Mus musculus: one gene and its partner. The protein of the gene in region 1 purifies or fractionates together with the protein of each later gene. This does not show direct contact. Links are inferred from orthologs where the notes say so. Each region holds a gene or a part of one and is shown on either strand. Other genes may lie near its edges.

The links.
Region 2: the proteins of Fbxw2 (region 1) and Cul1 purify together in Homo sapiens (affinity purification with western blotting; 13 studies listed by BioGRID and IntAct, with this or other methods). This does not show direct contact. The link is inferred for Mus musculus from reciprocal best matches to the Homo sapiens genes FBXW2 and CUL1.

The regions. Positions count from the first base shown.
Region 1 is NC_000068.7:34,820,528-34,831,734, reverse strand, and holds the start of Fbxw2 (F-box/WD repeat-containing protein 2), read left to right. Parts: upstream 1-5,499; 5' UTR 5,500-5,563; intron 5,564-5,664; 5' UTR 5,665-5,773; exon of another isoform or gene 5,774-5,964; coding exon of another isoform or gene 5,965-6,055; intron 6,056-8,553; exon of another isoform or gene 8,554-8,667; coding exon of another isoform or gene 8,668-8,687; coding exon 8,688-9,177; intron 9,178-11,207. UniProt on the Homo sapiens protein: Substrate-recognition component of the SCF (SKP1-CUL1-F-box protein)-type E3 ubiquitin ligase complex.
Region 2 is NC_000072.6:47,513,474-47,523,569, reverse strand, and holds part of Cul1 (cullin-1), read right to left. Parts: intron 8,776-10,096; coding exon 8,668-8,775; intron 8,592-8,667; coding exon 8,485-8,591; intron 7,096-8,484; coding exon 7,047-7,095; intron 6,469-7,046; coding exon 6,337-6,468; intron 5,406-6,336; coding exon 5,288-5,405; intron 4,435-5,287; coding exon 4,358-4,434; intron 3,923-4,357; coding exon 3,791-3,922; intron 2,778-3,790; coding exon 2,685-2,777; intron 493-2,684; coding exon 445-492; intron 367-444; coding exon 284-366; intron 1-283. UniProt on the Homo sapiens protein: Core component of multiple cullin-RING-based SCF (SKP1-CUL1-F-box protein) E3 ubiquitin-protein ligase complexes, which mediate the ubiquitination of proteins involved in cell cycle progression, signal transduction and transcription.

The DNA of each region.
Region 1 (11,207 bases):
AATCCCACAACGTGGTTGGCCATTGCCTAGAAGCCTGGGCAGCTTGGGGAAGGCCAGATAGTTTAAAAACTGATAATGGCCCCGCATATACATCAAAATCATTCCAAACCTTTTGCAAAATAATGCAGGTTAGTCACTCTACTGGTCTTCCCTACAATCCACAGGGCCAAGGCATTGTGGAAAGAGCACATCGAACCTTAAAAGAACTCTTACAAAACCAAAAAGGGGGGCTGGTGAGATGGCTCAGTGGGTAAGAGCACCCGACTACTCTTCCAAAGGTCAGGAGTTCAAATCCCAGCAACCACATGGTGGCTCACAACCACCCGTAATGAGATCTGATGCCCTCTTCTGGTGCGTCTGAAGACAGCTACAGTGTACTTACATATAATAAATAAATAAATCTTTAAAAAAAAAAAAAAAAAAAAAAAAACCAAAAAGGGGTGTGTTGATCCTGTGTTTTTCCACAGGATCAAGAACACCCGATTTGGGTACCAGAGAGGCTGACTTGAAAATTGCTCCCTCCTACAGAGATATAGATTGTAATAGTTCTGGAAGGACATATTTTTTAGCAGAGTGTTGGCAGGGTATACTGCTGTGGTTGTGAAACTTCCCACCTTTGTGCCTATAGTAGATTTTGAAATGTTTGCCACCTATGCCCATTGGTGCTACTCACTGAGTGGTTCAATTTGAACCTCTTTTCCTCAAATCTTTGCTTCTGTTTGAGAATGAGTTCATTCACCAAGAAATTAGGATAGAGATGGTCAATACTGTCCACAACATAATTACACTTGGGGCATCTATTATTACATCCAAACTCTGATGAATATACTTGTAGCAAAAACTGTGGCCACATTTTGTCATGTATGCCTCCTCAGTCATATCAAAGCAGATGGGACTCTCTCTTATTTAATAGACTTAATTCAAGAACAGGTTGAAGAATTGTATAAAGTTGTACAAGCTAATTTCTCTCAGTCTCTTGAACAGAGTCGCCTCTTATTTGAGTAGGAAATTGGTTGGCTAAAGCAGAGTTCTCCAGAAAGCTGCTCCTCCAGATTGCCAAACTCAACAGCACTCGACTGGACCCTGTCACCTTGGGGGACTTCACCTCCTGGATCACCAATGCCTTCTCATTTTTTAAGGAATGGGCGGGAATGTTGGCCTGGGGGGCAGTGGTCCTCCTGGGTTGTGTCTTTTGTATCTGGCTATTGTGTCGACTCAAACGAGAGCACGCTCAGTATTAGGCAGTGGTGTACCAAGCATTGATGGCATAAAGATGGCACATCTCCCAATGTTTGGCTGGCCTCTTTAAAAAATTAAGAGTTCGCCCTAGGTCGTCTGGCAGTTGTAGTCACACAGATCCACAGTATCCAGTGACAGGCAACTTTCCTTATGCACAGACCAACCTAAGACATGGGGCCTGGAGGCGATAGGGTAACCCTTGGACGGGTAAGGCCGTGACATGAAAGGATCGACCTAAGACAGGAGACGTGGCCGATGAACAGACTTGCCCAGACCTAGTCCAGCATCATATTATTAAACAAAAAAGGGGGAGATGTAGGCAGCTGGCGCCTAAAAGATGGCGCCGGTCTCTGGTACACCGGTCTCTGGTACACCATCACCGTAAACAACAGCACTACGCAGGCGCTAGCCCGAATCTGACGCCAACCCCTCCCGAACGGGTGCATGCAAATTAAGGTGCCAGCAGACTGACCAATCCCAGGAGGACACAAAGCTTTTCCCTGTGCTGGGGTGTATATAAGGAGTCCTCCCTGGGTTCCCGTAGCATCGAGGCGTTCCTGGAATAAAGCTGTTGAGAAGAATCTGACCGTTTTGTGTTTTCCTTGCCGGACGAGGTGGGCACAACATCCACTCATCTCCAATCCCTTTGTATCTGCCCTGTACTCTTGCAACCTCCCTCCCCCACAAAAGAAAATAACAAAATGAAAAATCTGGTCATGGAAGTTGTAGTGTGTCCCAAAGTATACCCTTCTGTCCACACATCTTTACTTGCAAATGTTCATTGCAATGAGTCATTGGTCTGGTTTCTGCTACTCACTATCAATACCGGATCCTTACTGAGACTCCTTTTGTAGCCCTATCCCATGTCAAAGAGGTCCTGCAGCTTCATGGACTCCAGCAGTTTAGAGAAGCGGTAGATCCTGGGGTGGGACAACCCTGGCTCTGGGCCTGGGTGGTAGCTGAGTTGGTGAAGCTGTCTGTTCTCTAGCACTCACATCATAACAGTGAGCTCTTCAGTACTGGCCCTGTTATCTCACCCAACCTCTCAGCTGTGGAAAACCTTTGGGGGACCGCTTAGCAGGAATCTGACATTCACCAAGGACAAGGAAATGGGCTTCAGGCAGGAATCTGACGTCGTTAGGACGTGACAAGGAAGTAAGCTCAGGCAGGAATCTGCACATATTTGTACTTCTTAGTGGCTCCTGTGGTGGGTGAACCGTTGTGCCTCTCAGATCTGGTTCTTAATACTGAAAGTCCTGCTGCTTTGTGTCCAATCCTGAAGACAGTATGATGAGAGTGTGATTGGGACAGAGGAGGAGGGCACAGTCTCCCTGGGTCACTGAGCAGGTGTTGAGCATCCTTAAAGCACTGAGATGGTTCAGGAGGTAAAAGGGGAAGAACTAACTCTTGTAAATTGTCCTCTGACCTCCACACATGCATCATGGTATGTACACACAAACACACACTTTTTATTATGTGTCTAGGTGTTTTTTTCTTGCATGCATATCTATGTATTACTTGCATTCCTGGTACCCAGACCAGAAAAGGGTGTCAGATCCCCTGGGACTGGAGTTACAGACACTGTGAGCTACCATGTGGGTGCTGGGAATTTAACTTGGGTCCTTTGAAAAAGTATCCAGTACCCTTAACTGCTGAGCTTTCTCTCTAGCCCTTAAAGTTTAATTTAAAGAAAAGCACTGTCAGACTAGTAAAAATCATTATTAGTGCTAATGATAAGTTATTTAAATCCTTACTGAAAGCTACCTGTCTAATATTCACTTCATATGAATAAGAAGCTGGGGGAATGTGACAATTTTGACTCCCTAATTAACAACTGTTGGGTTCTGCCTTGCACCCTCAATGCCTTAAGCAAAGAAACTATTAGTCAAATAGCTAGTCGATACTACCCTTACGCCAGCGCCTTGAACACTCCGAGGATGCCTTGAAAAGAATGCACAATTGCAGATGATTGCCCCAGATCCAGAAGGTACAACCCATCAGGGTTCTAAGACACAGCTTGTACCAGATTCCTGGCTATCCCAAGCATTAGTGAAATTAGATGACCTTGAAATTAGATGACCTTGAAACTATTAGTGAAATTAGATGACAGGTGGGGCACTTCTTGAGCCTCAAAGCTTCTCTGACTGCTATGACTGGTTCAAAGGAGAAAGGCTGAGATTGGCCCAAACATAAACTTTCATAATTGTGACTGATTCAGTCCCTTCTCTGGCTGTGTAATCAAGAGTGTTGCAATCAAGTCACTCAGATGACTGGGATTGGCTGGGAGACAGTGTCCTACACCTCTCCCCCTCCTGTTGCAACATTAAGCCTAGTAAAAAGCCTGTCTCACCAGTGATCCCACCAACTCTCAGTACCGTGAACTGGTTACACAGACAGCAGAGAAAGGCTTACTGATGGCAGATGGGAAACTCATGGTGGCAGCAAGAGAATCAGTCAGCATGGAAAACTTAGAAAGTGACAGCTGGAGCAGCAGCAGAGAGGCTTCAGAGTGGTCAGGAATGGAGGAAGGACAGAAGAAATAGAAAGCAAGAGAGGGCTGAAGAAGAAAAGTTTGTAACAACTGAGAAGGGAGACTGTGGGTCCTGCTCACCTCCCCAACCCGGAAAGGAGACCTTGAGCTCTTGATTATGCTACCTCTGCCTCTAAAGTGCTGGGAGTATGCACCCGGGCCACTATCTCTAGCTTGGTTGTCAAGTCTTTAAAGCCAAGATTCTCAGGGATTGTGGGCCAAGAGTTGCAACACTAGCAGGCGTTAAGGGCTAAGGAATTAGATCTACAGATCTAAGAGATCTAATTAGATCTAAGAGACCAGACACCCAAGGCTTGTATAAGAACTGTTAACTCCTTCTCCCTTTCCTCCTAGCATTTGCCCTTCTCGCCTTGTTGCTCTGGCGGCTGCTGTAAAACAAGGGAAAACAGGGCAGGTGAGATGGCTCAGTGGGTGAGAGCACTGACTGCTCTTCTGAAGGTCTTGAGTTCAAATCCCAGCAACCACACGGTAGCTCACAACCGCCTGTAATGAGACCTGACGCCCTCTTCTGGTGCGTCTGAAGACAGCTACAGTGTACTTATTTATAATAACAAATCTTTGGGACTGAGCGAGCGCCGGTCTCACATAGGGAGCGGGGTTGACCGGAGTGAGCAGAGGTCCTAAATTCAATTCCCATCATCCACATGAAGGCTCACAACTACAGCGTACTCATACGCATAAAATAAATAACTCTTAAAAAAAACCCTAGCCGGGCGTGGTGGCGCACGCCTTTAATCCCAGCACTCGGGAGGCAGAGGCAGGGGGATTTCTGAGTTCGAGGCCAACCTGGTCTACAAAGTGAGCTCCAGGACAGCCAGGGCTACACAGAGAAACCCTGTCTCGAAAACCCAAAAAAAAAAAAAAAAAAAAAAAAAAAACCCAAGGGAAACAAAAGCTTTAAATAGGAAAAACAAAAACAAACAAACCAAAAACTGGGCAATGATGGCGCACACCATTCATTAGTCCCAAGCTATTGGGAGAGGCAGGCAGATCTTTGAGTTCAAGACCAGCTTGGTCTACAGAGCGAGGTCCCGGTCAGCCAGAGTTACAGAAAAACCTTGTCCCATCAAACAGACAGGCAAAGCTTTCACACAGCAGCATTTATAGAGCTTCTTGCTTACCACTTCTATCTGGGGGGACTAAAGGCTTCACGCTAGTTAGCTGATATGTAACAAGCGCTTCGGAGAACAGCTGTCTCCGTGGCTAAGTGGCCACGTTTGGACAGCGTGCATGTATGTCCTGGGATTCGAGCTTAACCCAGCCCCTACCCAACTCCCTTACCATGTTTTGTCCTTGCTTCCTGCAGTATACTTTGTTATTTGTCCTGTCTTCCTCCTACGACTAGACATAGACCTCGCGCAGTTAGGGATTTGTTCAGCTGTGTCAGAATCGTGTTTGGGAGGTGCCAGGTGTCAATGGGCTGTTTGAATATCGTCACATGTGGATTTGGAGCCTTAGCCCTTTCTCTCCTGTGAAATATTACCCTAACTTGGTTAAAAAAAAAAAGTAGATGAGGAAAATAAACATTGTGCAAATCTAGAGGTCCACCTTGCTCAGGATCATAAGGTGTAAGCGCAGACGGTGGTACAGCACATGTTCGGCCCTTTTCCACAGTCGGGGCCATTCTTTCCCAGGTACTTGGAGGGCAGAGACGGAAGTAGAGCCGCTTCCGCCCGACGCTGGGCGCCGGAATGGCGCGCGGAGATGACGCAGCAGCACCGGAAGCCGCTCCCCTGTGAGGCTGCGGACCCAGAGCAGCGGCCGTAGGTCCAGGTCTGTATTTGCGATTGGCCGGGCCGGGCTGGACAGGAATCCCCAGCGCCCGCGGCGTTACTGACCCGCCGCCCCGGCCTGTTTTCTCCCTTTCCCCGCAGGCGCCATGGCTGTGGAGCGGACCCGGCCGCTGCGACGCTCTGGCGGCCCGAGCGCGCCTAGTCGGTGTGAGCCCGGCGCGAGGTCCCGGGCCCCGGGGCGCTCGCTCAGGTCAGTGCCGCGCGGAACACGGCTCCAGGAGCAGGGGACCAAGGGAGTCACGAACGGGCTGAGAGACTCGGAGTTAATTTTAGACAGGAAAATTAGAGCTAAGAGTTCCTGCCTTCTGGTGCTTCGGTTTTTCCTAGCCGCGAAACGAGTTAACATTGATGCCCCAAGGCTAGCACTTTAATTAATTAAAGATGATGAAATGTGGACAGGTGGTTTATAAAATGCAGAACGTAGTAGTATGTGTAGGAAGGCACCATGCTTGTGTGTATGCCTTGAAAACAGGTGTGTATTTGAGATGATGCTTCTTTTTAAAAGGGGAGAAATGACAGTATTAGTACTACATTATAACAGTAACTGGCATTTATTGTAGGCTTATAGTGTGCCAGATACTGTACAGAACGCTGTTTAACCCTAACAATCTTGTAGGTAAAACAGTACCAGGCGACAGTTTACAAGTGAGGAAATTTGGCTTGAAACACAAGAAATGATTTGCCCATGGTTACCCAACAAGTGAAATTTCAGAGCCCGTGTTTTATAAACATTATTTGTATTCTTTCAAAGGTTTAAAAGATTAGTCTCTAAATTAATGGCTTTTAGGCCAAGGGTGGTTGTGGACTCCAGCAGTCCCAGCACTCCAGTCTTGTGAATTGTGAGACCAGTCTGGGCTTCACTGCAAAAGCCTGTCTCAAAAAACAAAATAAAACAAAAAGCAAAACAAAAAGGAACAGTAAAAACAATTTTCTAAATATCACAAGCAAAAGGAGGAAAAGATCTTTACAATAGTGTAGTCACATGGTTTTAAATACAAAAAGATGTTTTGTTAAAAGGGACTTCATCCCTTTTCTTTCCAGTTCTCTCTTGAAGCAATATTTAATCAGCTTCCTCAATATTCACAGAATACTTTTCTGTACACATAATCCTCTGTGTAGACCAGACTGGCCTCAAACTCACAGAGCCTGCTTCTGCCTCCGAGGGCTGGGATTAAAGGCATGTATCACCACGCCTGGCCTACCTTTTAACTGGTTGTGAAAGGGGAGGCAAGGAGACAACCTTCCCAACAACAATGAGTATTTATTTTTTGTTCTTTAAAAAAATGATTTTTAGTGTGTCTATATGTCTGTGTCTATGTAGGATGTTGGAGGGAGCATGTATATGCCAGTGTGTGCGTGCGTGGTTTTGCATACAGCTTTATGGAGTCAGTTTTCTCCCCCCAAATTTACGTGGGTTTTGGGTATCCAACCCAGGTCATCAGGCTTTTCAGTAAGCACTTCATCTCACAGGCCTGAAGCCTTGATTCCTTACCTGCATAGGTTATGCAGACTAGAAGGAGGGAAAACATTGAGTTTACACCCATAATGCCTTGCCTGTAGAAGATGCAGGTGGAGATTGGGTACTACTGAGCTGCTGCTCCTGTGTAACTCTGGTTGAGCCACCCTGCCTCTTGGGCCCTAGCCTCTTTGTTGGTAAGGGCAGTAGTATTGACTTCTTCTATGAACCATGTTAGAATCAAGCGTGATATTTTTAGGCGCTGCTTCAGTTATTAGGACCAACATAAATATAATTGCTTAGAAGCAGAAACCAAATTCATGCTCTCATCTCCCAATTTAGGAATGTTTATCATACTACACATTTCCTCAGAGCTTTGTGATTGTTTCTGTTGAGGACTGCAGAACAAGTTAAGTGTTTACATTGAGAAGGGTGAGAGGCACAAGATAGCAAGGGGGGTGTGCAGAAAGAAAAGAGCTAAGGAAGCAGTTAGCGGCTTAGATGTGCCGTATCACTGCAGCTTTTCTGATTCGCACACTGCTAAGTTAGAATAGCTTCTGTTTTACAAATGGAAGCTTAGACTTTAGTTGAGCATTCCATGATCACATATTTCCCAGGTTGATCTCTAACTTAGTTATCTTGTAAGGGCAGCCTCTAAGAAGCTAAGATTGTATGTTTCACTGTGCCAGCATCATGGAGATTGTTAATTTGCTTTATCTTACAGGCTACAAGGACCCTCATGGCTCTGTAGGGAACACAGTTAAGAGCTGTCACTAGCTTATGTGAGGCTTATAAAAGCAAACTGTAGCCTTTAGCAATCCATGTTCTAACAGACAGTACTGTAAAGGAATGGAATACCAGAATACCCAAGGCACACAGCTTAGCACACATTTGTTTTTTCTTTCCTCACATCTTTTTGCTTCAACATTTATTGTAGAACCAAATTTTGTGATCTGGGTGGCAGGTCAGGTTGCACCTAGTAGCATAACTGATACAGAGGTCACAGCTCCAGAGATTTGTATATGTTATATGTTGGTGCCATTCTTGTAACTTCCCAAATAGAGTGCATTTAGGAAGTAAATTACTAAGGAGGTAGTTTTGTAATGGTTTGAGTGGAAGGTTGTATGTAGACTAGAATACTCTTTATGAATGAATGTTCTATAAATCTTTTTGGTGACAGTGCATGTGGCATGTGTTAGACTTAAAAAGGAGCAAGTCACACACTAACATGTTCCTCTGACTTGTTTACTATATCATGATTTTTAAAAATATGTTTTCTGCTGGGGAGTGGTGGTTCACACCTTTAATCCCAGCACTTGGGAGGCAGAGGCAGATGGATTTCTGAGTTTGAGGCCAGCCTGGTTTACAGAGTGAGTTCAAGGACAGCCAGGGCTACACAGAGAAACTCTGTCTTGAAACCCCCCCCAAAAAAAAACCCAAAAAAACTGTTTTCTTAGATGTATTTTCTTTTGTGTACATGGGAACTTTCAGATATAGCATATTAACTGTAAAGTAAGCATAAATTTGTAATGCCAATTTTACACTAATTTTTAATACTACATTTATTATCAGTCTTGCTTGAAAAATCTTTTTGAACAGAACTAATATAATATTTTGATGTGCCACAGGTAAATATTTCCATAACCTTATGGAGAGAAAGGACTTTGAGACATGGCTTGATAACATTTCTGTTACATTTCTTTCTCTGACGGACTTGCAGAAAAATGAAACTCTGGACCACCTGATTAGTCTGAGTGGGGCAGTCCAGCTCAGGCATCTCTCCAATAACCTGGAGACTCTCCTCAAGCGGGACTTCCTCAAACTCCTTCCCCTGGAGCTCAGTTTTTATTTGTTAAAATGGCTCGATCCTCAGACTTTACTCACATGCTGCCTGGTCTCTAAGCAGTGGAATAAGGTGATAAGTGCCTGTACAGAGGTGTGGCAGACTGCATGTAAAAATTTGGGCTGGCAGATAGATGATTCTGTTCAGGACTCATTGCACTGGAAGAAGGTTTATTTGAAGGCTATTTTGAGGATGAAGCAACTGGAGGACCATGAAGCCTTTGAGACCTCTTCGTTAATTGGACATAGTGCCAGAGTGTATGCACTTTACTACAAAGATGGACTTCTCTGTACAGGTAAGGAGCCTGGGGGAGTTATGGGGGAGGGGAAGCAGTGCTCTTTCTTTAATAACTTACAAGGGTTAATCCCTTTAAGCTCCTCCCTCTTGAGAAGAGCAAGTGTTGACTACATGGATATTGGGAGTGGCATTTCCTCTGATTAGATGTCCCCATTCCCCTCATGCTCTTCCCCTGGAGAAGAGTCATTTCTATAAAGATTTATGAGAAAAGTTTTAGACATTCTCTCTAGTATAATGTGAATCAGAAAAGTGTAGGCTACTTCTTATTTTCGTTTCTTTAAAACATTTTACACTGGGTGTGGTAGCACATAACCTTTAATCTCAGCACTCAGGAGGAGACAAAGGCAGGCAGATCTTTAAGGTCAAGGCTAGCCTGGTCTACAGAGTAAGTTCCAGGACAGCAAGTGATACACAGAGAAAACCAAAACAAAAATACAAGAAAAAAAAAAACATTTTAGGTCTAGCAAGAACATTTTAGATGAATTGTTTAACCTGTCTGTGTTTGTTTCCTTGCCTTGAAAATAATGGGAAGGGACAAATTCTTTCCTTGCTCAAAAATCCCATGACCCTAAGAATTCGATGTTCAGGGGCTGGCGAGATGGCTCAGTGGTTAAGAGCGCCGACTGCTCTTCCAAAGGTCCCGAGTTCAAATCCCAGCAACCACATGGTGGCTCACAACCATCTGTAACGAAATCTGACTCCCTCTTCTGAAGTCAGCTACAGTGTACTTACATATAATAAAGAAATAAATCTTTAAAAAAAAAAAAAAAGAAAAGAAAAGAAAACATTGACACAACAGTCAAAGAAAATTAAAAAAAAAAAAAAAAAAGAATTCGATGTTCAAAGTTTGGACATGGCAACAAAGACCACTGGATGGTTTTGGGTTTTTGTTTTGTTTTGGTTTTTATGGTTTTTTTTTTTTTTTTAATCTTTTATCGATTGTTTCACATCACTGTGTCCCACTCATCTCCATTCCTTTGAATCCAACCTCTGCTCTTGCTACCTCTCCACAAAAGACAATCTCTCACACACAAAGCATACACATCTCATCATGGAAGCTGTAGGGTGTTATAGTGTATTCTACCATATATCCCTCTGTCCACCCATCTTCACTTGCAAATGTTCATTGCAATGAGTCTTTGGTCTTTGAGGTCTCTGGCTTCTGTTGTGACGGGACTCCTCTTGCAATCCTGTTGTTGCCCCGTATCATGACAATCCTGTAGCTTTAGATCAGCAAGACCAGCCCTTTCAGGTTTTCCAACAGTTGACAGATGATGTAGATTTTGGGGTGGGTCAACTCAAAGCCTTGGATCTGGGCCTGGGTGGTTGCTGGGCTGGTAAGCTTGCCAGCTCTCCCACACCTGCACCACTAGGATGAGCTCTCCAGCACTGCTCCAGATAGGCCACTTATGGTGACAGGAGGCAGGCCAACTCTCCTGCTCTCATACCCTCAGGGCTGGCTTACTTGCATCCAAGTCTCCAGAGCCAGCACCTCTGTGCTGCTCTGTTGAAGCACAGGGCCCAGTCTCCCCAGTGCTAACAGCTGGATGTTTTTTACACTAGGCATTAAGTGTGACGTGCTGTTCTGTACGGTCCAAAGAGTGAGCTACCATAGCAGTGCTTTCAGTATCAGATTTAGCACTTTAGGTATGTAGAATTAATAGAGCAACCTAACTGGGAGAGCAAACATAAGATAACACTATCAAGTAGAGGGCTTACAAACTTTGAGCAGAAATCAACTGGAGAAGCCCACTTGAGACAGCCATCTGGCTTTCCCAATTAAGAGTCCTATAGAGTGAGACTTCTGAGTAAATGGTGTAGCAGATAACATCATCAAATTGGATGCTAACAGCATCCCTAAGAAACTGACTAGGGGGGCTGGTGAGATGGCTCAGTGGGTAAGAGCACCCGACTGTTCTTCCGAAGGTCCGAAGTTCAAATCCCAGCAACCACATGGTGGCTCACAACCATCCGTAATGAGATCTGACTCCCTCTTCTGGAGTGTCTGAAGACAACTACAGTGTACTT
Region 2 (10,096 bases), on another chromosome or scaffold:
CTGCTACCTGCGAACTGCCCCTCCACCAATGCTATGTAATTTTACCACAGAGGGATGACTGAAGTGACACTTGACCCCTCAATTTAGTGAATTGTAATAACACCAAAATAACTTGATATAAAGGTCTAAACATGCCATATGAGCCACTCAAGACTTATTTTCAAGATAAAGAAAATCAAACTCAGCATTAAAAGCAGAGTCCAGTTCCCCTGGCTCGTGCCGATCCTGAAGTAGGCCAGTGCCAGGGGATAAGACCAGCAGCTACATGTTAGATTTTTCTTACTTTTTATAACCAAGATATAACTTTATTAAGGTGTCTGGCTTCAATTCCACCTCATCAACATTGGCATTTTCATCTTCTAAGACCTAGAAGAAAATAACTGTTACTAGGCACATCCTAGGGAAAGGGTGTCTTCTAGCTCAACACAAAGTATACAAACATACCAGCAATTTCGACTTCAGTAAAATCTGTAGGACTTGTGCCAAAATGTCCTGCAATCAGAGAAAGATGGTAAGCAAGGAGGAAGAATACTTCTTTACAGTGCCTGTCCCAGAGGCCCAGCCTCACAGAAATGGTCATCACCTCAAAGCAGAACTAGTCAGAGAAAGTGACATGGCTTGTTCTTTATGGCCTGAAGCACCCACTATTCAAAGGCAATAATAATGCAGTTTCCCACAAACACTGGACACAATATATGGCCTGCTTCTTCAATGAAACCTACAGGAAATGATTCACTTCTTCGATGTCTGAAGGTTCATAAGACATTTATGTGGTGCTGTGGATCAAACCCAAGGCTTTGTGTGCCAGGCAAGTGTTCTACCAGTAAACTACACCCCTGAACATGCGAACGAAGCAGTAAGGAGCTTCAGCAGAACCAAAGTTGCACTGCATTCATGAACATGCTGAGACTTGGAGGCAGCTGACTTGCTGCCAACTTGGCTTTAGTTGGCAATTCAGTGCATCATATGACCTCTGTAGTTATTAGCTGCTCTGGTGATTTCCAGAACCATCAAGCCTCATGGCATGGGGACTTAACTTTCTCACCTGCACTCTTAACCAAGGCTCCCATGCTGTCAGAGAAGTGACAGCTATGCACTGGGGTCTGGAGGAGGGCAGCTAAAGACCCATAAGGTAATTCTAGTAATACAAAGAAGTAGAAAGATTGGTGTGGCATCGAGGAGAAGGCCAAGCAGAGACTAGAGAGGCAGACCTGTCAACCCTTCCAACCAGCCAGCAAAAAAAAAAAAAAAAAAGTAGGTTTCATTGAAATTTAAAAAAAAAAAATGCATGTACAGCAGTGTACCCATCAGTAAGTACACATGTCAACTAAAAAATTAAATGGGGGCAGGGACCACTTCTTAACTGGTGGAGTACTTGGCTAGCATGCCCAAGGCCCTGGATTCAATCTCCTGCACTGCATAAAAACGGGTGTGGAGCATGCCAGTAATCTATCACAGATACACAGATGTATGTACAAAGACAGGACAGTAAGTTAGTTTAAGGCATTCTCTACCTACTCAGTGAATCTGAGGTCATCCTAGAGTACAGGTGACTATTTCAACAACAGCAACAGAAAATCCCAACCAAACAAAAAATAAAGTGAATGAGGAAAGTTAAAAAATCTTTTATCTGCTTCCCAGCACTCACGTGAAAGCTCAGCCTTGTCTGGAGTGCTATGGGGAATAAATGAGTGAATCCCCAAGTCTTACTGCTGTGCAGCCTAGCTGAATGGATAAGCTCCAGATTCACTGACAGACGCTGCTTCAAAGAAAGAATGACATGTGCACCACAGTGACATCTACTTCTAGTCTCCAACACGTGAATACAAACAAGTACATATATCTACACACACACACACACACACACACACACACACACACACACACACACACACAGAGATAGAGACAGAGACAGACAGTGACTGACTGGGTTTAAAACAGCATTTCAAGGGACAGTGGTGGTAGCACACACCATTAAGCCTAGCACATGGGAGGTAGAGTCAGGCAGATCTCTCTGAGTTCATAGCCAGCATGGATTACAAAGAGAGTTCCTGGATAGCCAGGGCTACACAGAGAAACCCTTAAAAAAAATAGAGCATCTCACACTGTCCTTATAATGCTGACAAAAGAGAGCATTTCTTAACACCCTTATGAAACTGGCATAAAGGTTTATAAGGACACAGCTGGAACTGGCCACCACCATCACAGGTGCTGGCCACCATGCCTGCCTGAGAACCCATGTTTTCTCCAAAACAATTTGCTTAAATACTATAAAGTTATAAAGTCGTGATAGTGGCACATGGAGCTTTACACCCTAGACCTTAGTACCACCAGTACCAGGAATGTGCTGGATGCTCCTCACACAAGTTTGAGACTAGTCAGGTTAACTTTTGGCTCAAGTGAACCTTGCCCATTATATAAACTTCTCTGACTCAACCATGAGAACTCAGTGGTCCTGTTGGCATCCAAGGTGTCAGACACCCCAGTGAAATGCTCTCTGTGGATCTATCTGGCCTGGTCTTCTGGTGCCTTGGTCAGAGTTTACTGCTTTTACTTTTTTCTCCATGCTGCTAACATCTAGTAAGCCAAAGAAACCCATGTCCTCTCCCCCTTTCCACAACATCCCAATGAACAAAGAAGAGGCAGCTTGAGAGTATAGCGTGAGTACCAAACAGTGGAAATACCATTTTAATCTGAGTGCTGTCAGTCAACTGCTGCACAGTATAGGCGTCTTCTGTGTTATACTGAAGCAGGATTGCCATCTGAAATGTGGACGCCTTCGTGGTCCAGAGGAAAGAAAGAGGAAATGTGAAAACATGGGAAAGGTACAACCTGCTTTCATGAAAAGCATTCTTCAGAGGCAAAAAAGGAGAGGGAATACAAAATGTCACAACCAGGGGAATGGACATTTTTCTTAAAGATACCTTTCAAACACTGAAAAGACTCATTTTTCTCCTGAAATGTACCCTATATAAGCATAAATATATGAGCATACCTATAATATAAACATACACCAGGTATAGAGACATTAATTATAAGTTTAATTTTTATGCATAGTAGAACAAAAATTATTTTGGGGATGCATACCATTTATACATTATGTGTATGTTTAAGTTGCCAGAGACCTCCACACCAGGTATAATGGTTACTTAATTAACTTATCAATGTGGAAGTACAAAGGTTAAACTAGTGAGTAGTTTTCGTCACATACTCTACAGTTTAATTACCATTACCAGCTCACTACTGAGACCTTTTCAAGGAATGAAGTAAGTTTTACTTGTGAAACACACTGAGTACAGAAGTGAGAGTAGAAGGAACCTAGACTTTGAACCACAGTTAACTGGACCCCAGCTTTTGTAGAAATGCAATCAGCCCATAGCTGTTATTACTAGGCACTGCACACTGCTAGACGTGCTAGGGAGTCTTATCACTGTGAGGCTGCAGAGAGCTCTGACTGGAACTAGAGAGTGAAATGTCATCTTTTAAATTTGTCACCCCAGCATGTCATGCAAACCTACCAAACCTATCAAAGATCACTTCTATGGTGTAAGCAAACACTGCTAACTCAGTGGAGGAGAAACCTGAGGCTCAGAGTAAGGAAGTGACTTGCATCTATAGTCAGAGAAAATGAGTTCAGCTCACCTGCCCATGACAAGCATGCTTTACTCCCTACATGGCTTTGTCAGAGAATGAACTGCATCCCACTGCATGAGCTATCTAATTGGGTTTCTATAAGTTGTCTTATCATCAATTAGTACTCAAATATTTTACCCAAATAAAAAGATTTTACCTGCAAAGTGTATCTGTTTTTGAAGCAGTTAGTGACTAGTTCCCCTTTGGACAGTTGATACAACCATGTCAATTTTCTGCCACTGTGACGGCTGGCGTAGAAAGCTGTAAATCGCTGATAACTGCGCTCCAACTAGATGAAAGAACAGCACTATGCGGCATCCATGGCTTTCCATTCTACAGTCAGCATTTCTAAATAAAAGTCCCTGCCCCAAGTTCTGAGAACAAAATCAGTGCTTACAGAGAAGTGAACTACAAATGCCGGGGACCGTCTCGTGAACACTTTAAGACTGCAGAGTGAGTACCAAAGCAGGTTTCTACCTCATGCCCAGTAGGTACATCAAGAGTTTACCATGTAACCAGTGAGACTCTGCTTGTCGGGAATAAGTCAACACTGTTTGCTGCAACAGAGAGCCTTTCGCTATTTAACACAGGCCCATTTCACATTCCCCACAAACAGTGCACTGACTGCTTACACAGCACTTCGGTCAGCACACTAAGGTCAGGCAGCCCTTTTCCCTCTTGCCAGCTGAAAGAGACCAAGAAACAAAACCAAAACTATCCTTACCTCTGACGGCAAGGCAAACGTGCAAGACTGCTGAAAGGGCCACGATCCAGAACTCAGGACCTGAATACTGAAGTCCACTGTGGGAAGGAACACATTTAATTACTCTACAAATTTTAAAATTCTATTGTTACACACACACACACACACACACACACACACACACAAGAAATAGTCAAAAGATTTAAAAATTCATTACAAGTCTAGTAGGCTACACATACACAGTGAGATGTCCTAGATCAAAACTTCAAACCAAAGGTTGAAGAACCTAGCAACTGTTGTCCTCCAGGGCAATGGTTTTCCACTTTACTGTCAATATAGAGTTTCTAAGCTGATCTGCCTTGATCAATTTTATTTTTTCCCCTTCTGGATATGAAGTTCAGCATGCACAAGCAATGGATGGTGACCAGGAATGATTGATTTAACAGACCCAAATACAAGAAAATGGAAAGCACAAGAGCAAAGCACTACCTCCACCACAACTTGTGTACCATGTACTACTGTCAAGACCGACAGTAGAGACTTCTGGAACCTATTAATTAGGACACTTTCATTTTCACAGATAACGTAGATGTCCATTAGCAATACAAGCTTAATGATGACAGCAATTTTGATTTGGGAAGAATAAAATTCTCCAACTTTCTTCAAAAACAAGTAAGAGAGAGAAGAAAGAAATGTATTCAAACTCAGGTTCAAAGGCACAACAAGCCCATGGATCAGCACAGAGCGAGGCAGACCTGACTGGTCTCACTCAGCAAAGCTGCCACCATCCCATCTGGGTGTCAGGAGGAGGAGAGAGCACTTGGAAGGAAACGCCTGCTTCTAAGTCTTGGAAACTCTGACCCCATTTACCACCCTCACTCCGTATTATGTCACTTCTCTCATCTGCTACCAAGAGCCCAAAGAGCCCTGCTATGAGCACTCAGTACTCACAGTCCAGCGGTTCTGAATTCGTCAGGTGTTTTTTGAACTGTTCATTCAGATCTTTGCTTACACCAATGTCTTGAAACATTCGCTGAAGTTTGGAAGTGTACTCAAAACCACAAGCTTGCTGAAATAAACCCAGGCAACTGTCTCATTAATTTGTATAGAAACATGAATGTATGCAATGCATATAAGGGATTTTTAGAGAAATCACAATACAATATATTTTTTCTTAAGTTCTTTGAAGCTATTACTAAGATTTAGTCATATCTTATGGCATAAATATATACAGATTAAAGTTTTATGTTCTAAAAGACCATTAAAAGTTGGACAATTGGGTCTTCAATATGCAGTAAACATATTGCAGCATTTAAAGCTGCAATTTAAAGAGATTACGATAGGAAATAATTTAGAAACAGGTGGAATGTTGCACATCTGAAAGCACCGTACTCAGCAGGAAGAGGCTAGCCTGGGCTGTCAATGACCCTCAAGCCAAACCCTTCCAATAGCCCAAATAATCTGCTAGTCCCTTATTCTACCACTAAACTGTCTTTTTTTAGAATGTGCCTGCTGAAGTTTAAACCTCTGGTGTGGAGGTATCTGAAGATGAGTCCTTGTGCGTTCATGAGTGTAGGGTGCCTCTTTAAGAGGATGTTACCCTGTGAGTAATGGGCCAAACAGTGGTTGACTGAGAGCCAGGAGAGCCTGCTTCAAAAACAAGATCTAGATTTTTAAGACTTCTGAGTCCCCAGAATGGAGAGTTCATTTCTTTGCCTAAGTTTCCTGGCCCATGGTATTTTGTTTTGGCAGTCTGAGCTAAGAAAACCACTAAGCATTCACACAGAGCCAACAAGGCTGGATGTGTGGGAAGCAGGTGAGGATGTGGCAAAGGTGAGCAGAGCCTGGCCAAGGAAGGGCTACATGGAACAGAAGAACCCTAAACAGGGTGGCAGAGGAAGGAAAGCACCGGAGGCCTGGCTGGAAAGCAGGTCTCACACTGCACGAACCAAGTCAATAAACCCTGAGGAAATTGGGATTCTCCAGGAAAAGAATAGTACCTTTAACTTGGAGATCATGCTTGCTTCAGCATCGTCACTCGCACTGTTTTGATGTACCAGTCTCTTGGCAAGCATCTTTGCATAGAACTTCTGAAATACATCTTTGTCCTCGATGTACTTGAAGACCACCATCTGGCAAAGCCAGGGAAAGAACACCTTAGTGAAACTAACTCACAAGCCCATTTGTCTCTAGCTACCTCCAGGAGCTGCTTGGTTTTGGGTGGGCCTATGTTCTAACCTGGCACAAACTCACCCTGAAATGTTCACAATAAATAGCGCCATCCATTCCTTAAATCCCAGTTGACTGGACTAGACTTAGTAGCAAGAAGCAAAGTACTAAGGCTGGAGAAATGGCTCAGAGGATTAGGGTACTTGCTGTTCTTGCAGAGGACCTGAGTTCCATTCCTAGCACATGGTGGCTCACAACCATCTCTAGTTCCAGGAGATAGAACACCCTTCTGACTTCCTCAGGCACAAGCACACATGTAGTACATATACATACATGTACACAGGCAAAACACTCATATGCATACAATAAAATAATCTTTGAAAATTTAAAACAAAAAAGAAGCGAAGTACCAACATTAAAAGTAAAATTTAGGAGTAAAACCATAAATTCGAAATCAAAATACTTATGACTTTGCATATTTCAGGCCCAATATAAAAAGAGCCTTACAAAGGGCAATGGGTGTGGCCATGAAACACCTTACCACTTGATTGAGGGTGTCTTCTAGTTCTGCCTCTTCTGGGTTCTTGGAACTGAAATTTAAAAGGGCAAGGTGTTTACAAACAAGCAAGCAGACATGCACACATACCACTCTGCCAAACTAGCAGTATCCCACGTGGCTTCAAGTATTTAATAATGAGTTCTCAGATCAGCTGGTGAGCTAGGGGAGGTCACTTTCCTCTCCTAAGGCAATCTGGCAGCCTCACATTGTACCCCATCATGGAAGAGATTACAAAATAGCCACTAGGATATCTAAGATGAAAACTGACAGAAGTTAATTATAATATTATGAAGTTTCCCTTCAAGACAACCCATTTAAATATCAGTAAGTGAGCTGCATTCTTACAATTGCTCCCTACAATCTGAGATAGCAAGTGACCTTACCCAATGTTTCCCCACCACGTACAAAGCAGGTAACACAATTCTCCCAATAGTGAGCTGTTTCGGTTTTGCTACTGATCTACGCCCACAGTCTGAAGATGCTGCATGGCCTACCTTTTGTACAATTATTTTCCAGCTCACTGATGATGACTTGTTAACTTAAAAAATAAAAAGGGTTTATGTGTATGTGTGTATGCCTGCTTGTCTGTATGAGCACCACATATACACACAGGAACCTATGCAGGCCAATAGAAGGCATCAGATTCCCTGGAACTGGAATTACAGATGTTTGTGAGCTGCCCAATTGGATACTAGGAAGTAAACCCAGGTCCTCTACAGGAACAGCAAGTGTCTTTAACAGCTGATCCATTGCTCAGGCTCTGAGAGTTAAACTGTCATTGTTTACATTGTGGGTATTTTCTTAGCCTTAGAGAGCTTTATAAAATATATTGACATCAGAATCAGTAAAATTTGGGGACCTATGCCCCCTTCATAGCATTTGGTGATGTGGTTTGTGGGACAGAGGCAAACCTTGAACATTGCAGGAATGAAACTGTGACGGGGAGAGAAGCTAAGGGAACATAACGAAGAGGAGGCAGCCAAGCCTAATTATACAGCTTGCTTCTAGCTCTGAATACAGCTAAGAAGATTAGGAAAATGTCAGGTGAGTAGATGGTGACTTGAAAATGAAGTGTATGTAGCACCAACAAATGACCAAATAAGAACAAAACTTTAAAATAGTCACATGGCTGAATTTGGTGGTGTGCTCTATATACCCAGTATGTGGAAAGCTGTGGGTAGGAGGACTGCTGGGAGTTTTGAGGCTAGCCTGAGCTACACAACAGCTCTGTCAAATGTAGACCAACACATAATCCATATTGTAGTATTCAGTTTTCTCCGACTGTTCAGAAAGCCAGTGGGAGTTGATGCAGGTTTCAACAATGTAGTGCAATACAAGTAAATGTAATGCAACTACTGACCCCTTGTATTAAACTCAAGTTTAAATAGGGTCCTAGGAAAATATAATACCAGGTCAGTACCTTTTCTTCAGCAAGGAGTCACAGTACCGAGCAAGCAGCTCAGGGGATTTACTGGATGACTGGGCCATTTTGGTAACCGCATTGTTGTTTATGAAGCGACCACAAGCCTGTGTATATAAAAGACAGTTAGTTAAAGGTGTCCTGTACCTACATACTCAATAGGCATCTCAGTGACATACTTACCTTATCAAGAGCAGCTACGAAGCCAGCATCGTTGTTGAATGCTGACATCACCAGGGCATTGTATTTTTTATGAACATCCAGCACTGTCTGCACATACATCTTGGGGTCCTTAGGTAGAGGGAAAGCCAAAACAAACAATTAAAAACACACATTTCATGCTGCTGTAAAACGTTCTACAAGTTTTAACTACATCTTCAAAGAAGTTAATATGATCAGAAATACTTTTGGTTCCATCACTAAAACACACAGGACATTATGTTTCCATGTAAAACAAAATAATTCTTCAAATTAAAAATTAAATTCCTTAAAAAAAAACTTGAAAAGATCATGAAATTAGTTTTTATCAAACGACAGGTCTGAACACAGATGGGGACACACAATGGAAACTGTGTGGCCAAGGTCAGGGACAAGCACTGGGAACTCGGGGTGTGGGCGACAGGGACCCTTCAGACAAAAGAAAATATCGGAAGATGCTAAAGGGGACAGTACTGGTAGATACAGGAAATGGATGGAGAAGGAATCAATATCAATGGTCAAGTAGCAGTCACTATTTGCCAGCCAAGGACCCATAATGTGTGGCAGGTATAATTTTTAATGTCCATTTTATATAATTAAACTTAAGTTACACTTCTTACTAAAGTTGTGGCAGCTGAGTCAAGAAAGGACTCAGGGAGATGACTCCTGAGTCTGGCATGTTCTCTTCAGCTTTCAAAATAGAAAGACCCAGCCAATGGACACAGAGAGGCAGGAAGGCGCTTGACTAGCCCTTCCTAAACCAGGAGCTTCAGGTGCACAGAAAGCAAATATTCTGGCAATGCCTCTAAATTCCTGACAATTTCACTGCTGATATTTTTGAAACAGCATTCCTCAATATAGTCCAAGCTTACCATAAACTTATGACCTTCCCCTGCTGCCACCACTGTGTCCAGACCCCAGTTCCTGACACACTGTCTTGCACAACTCAGGAATGAGAAAACAGAAACCCTAAATACTAATTACTTCGTATTTTTGGTAAAATTTTTTAAATTAACAATGAATAAAACCAGAATTTTATGATATAATAATTTTCTATACACTCAGGGATGCCTTGTTTAAAAATATAATAAATAGATGCAAAATTATTATGAAAAAGTATATAGTATGATGATATAATTTCACTGAGATGGAAAGATGGTCTTTACCTGATACAATCAGATAATCTGGTCCCTGTCTCCTGACAACTACTCCTGTATGTTGCAGAGATGGCACCACTCTAAAGAAAGCATCCGAGAGCACCTACAAGTCAAGCATGCACCTTGCTTCATATGGGCTCTTCTTTTTTAAGAAATGCATTTTTTCCCTTTGCTTGACTTAATTTTGGTTTGCCATTAAAGCCCATATTACTTTGGCAAACTCAGGTTTTAAACTCATTTCTGATCTCACATCAAAT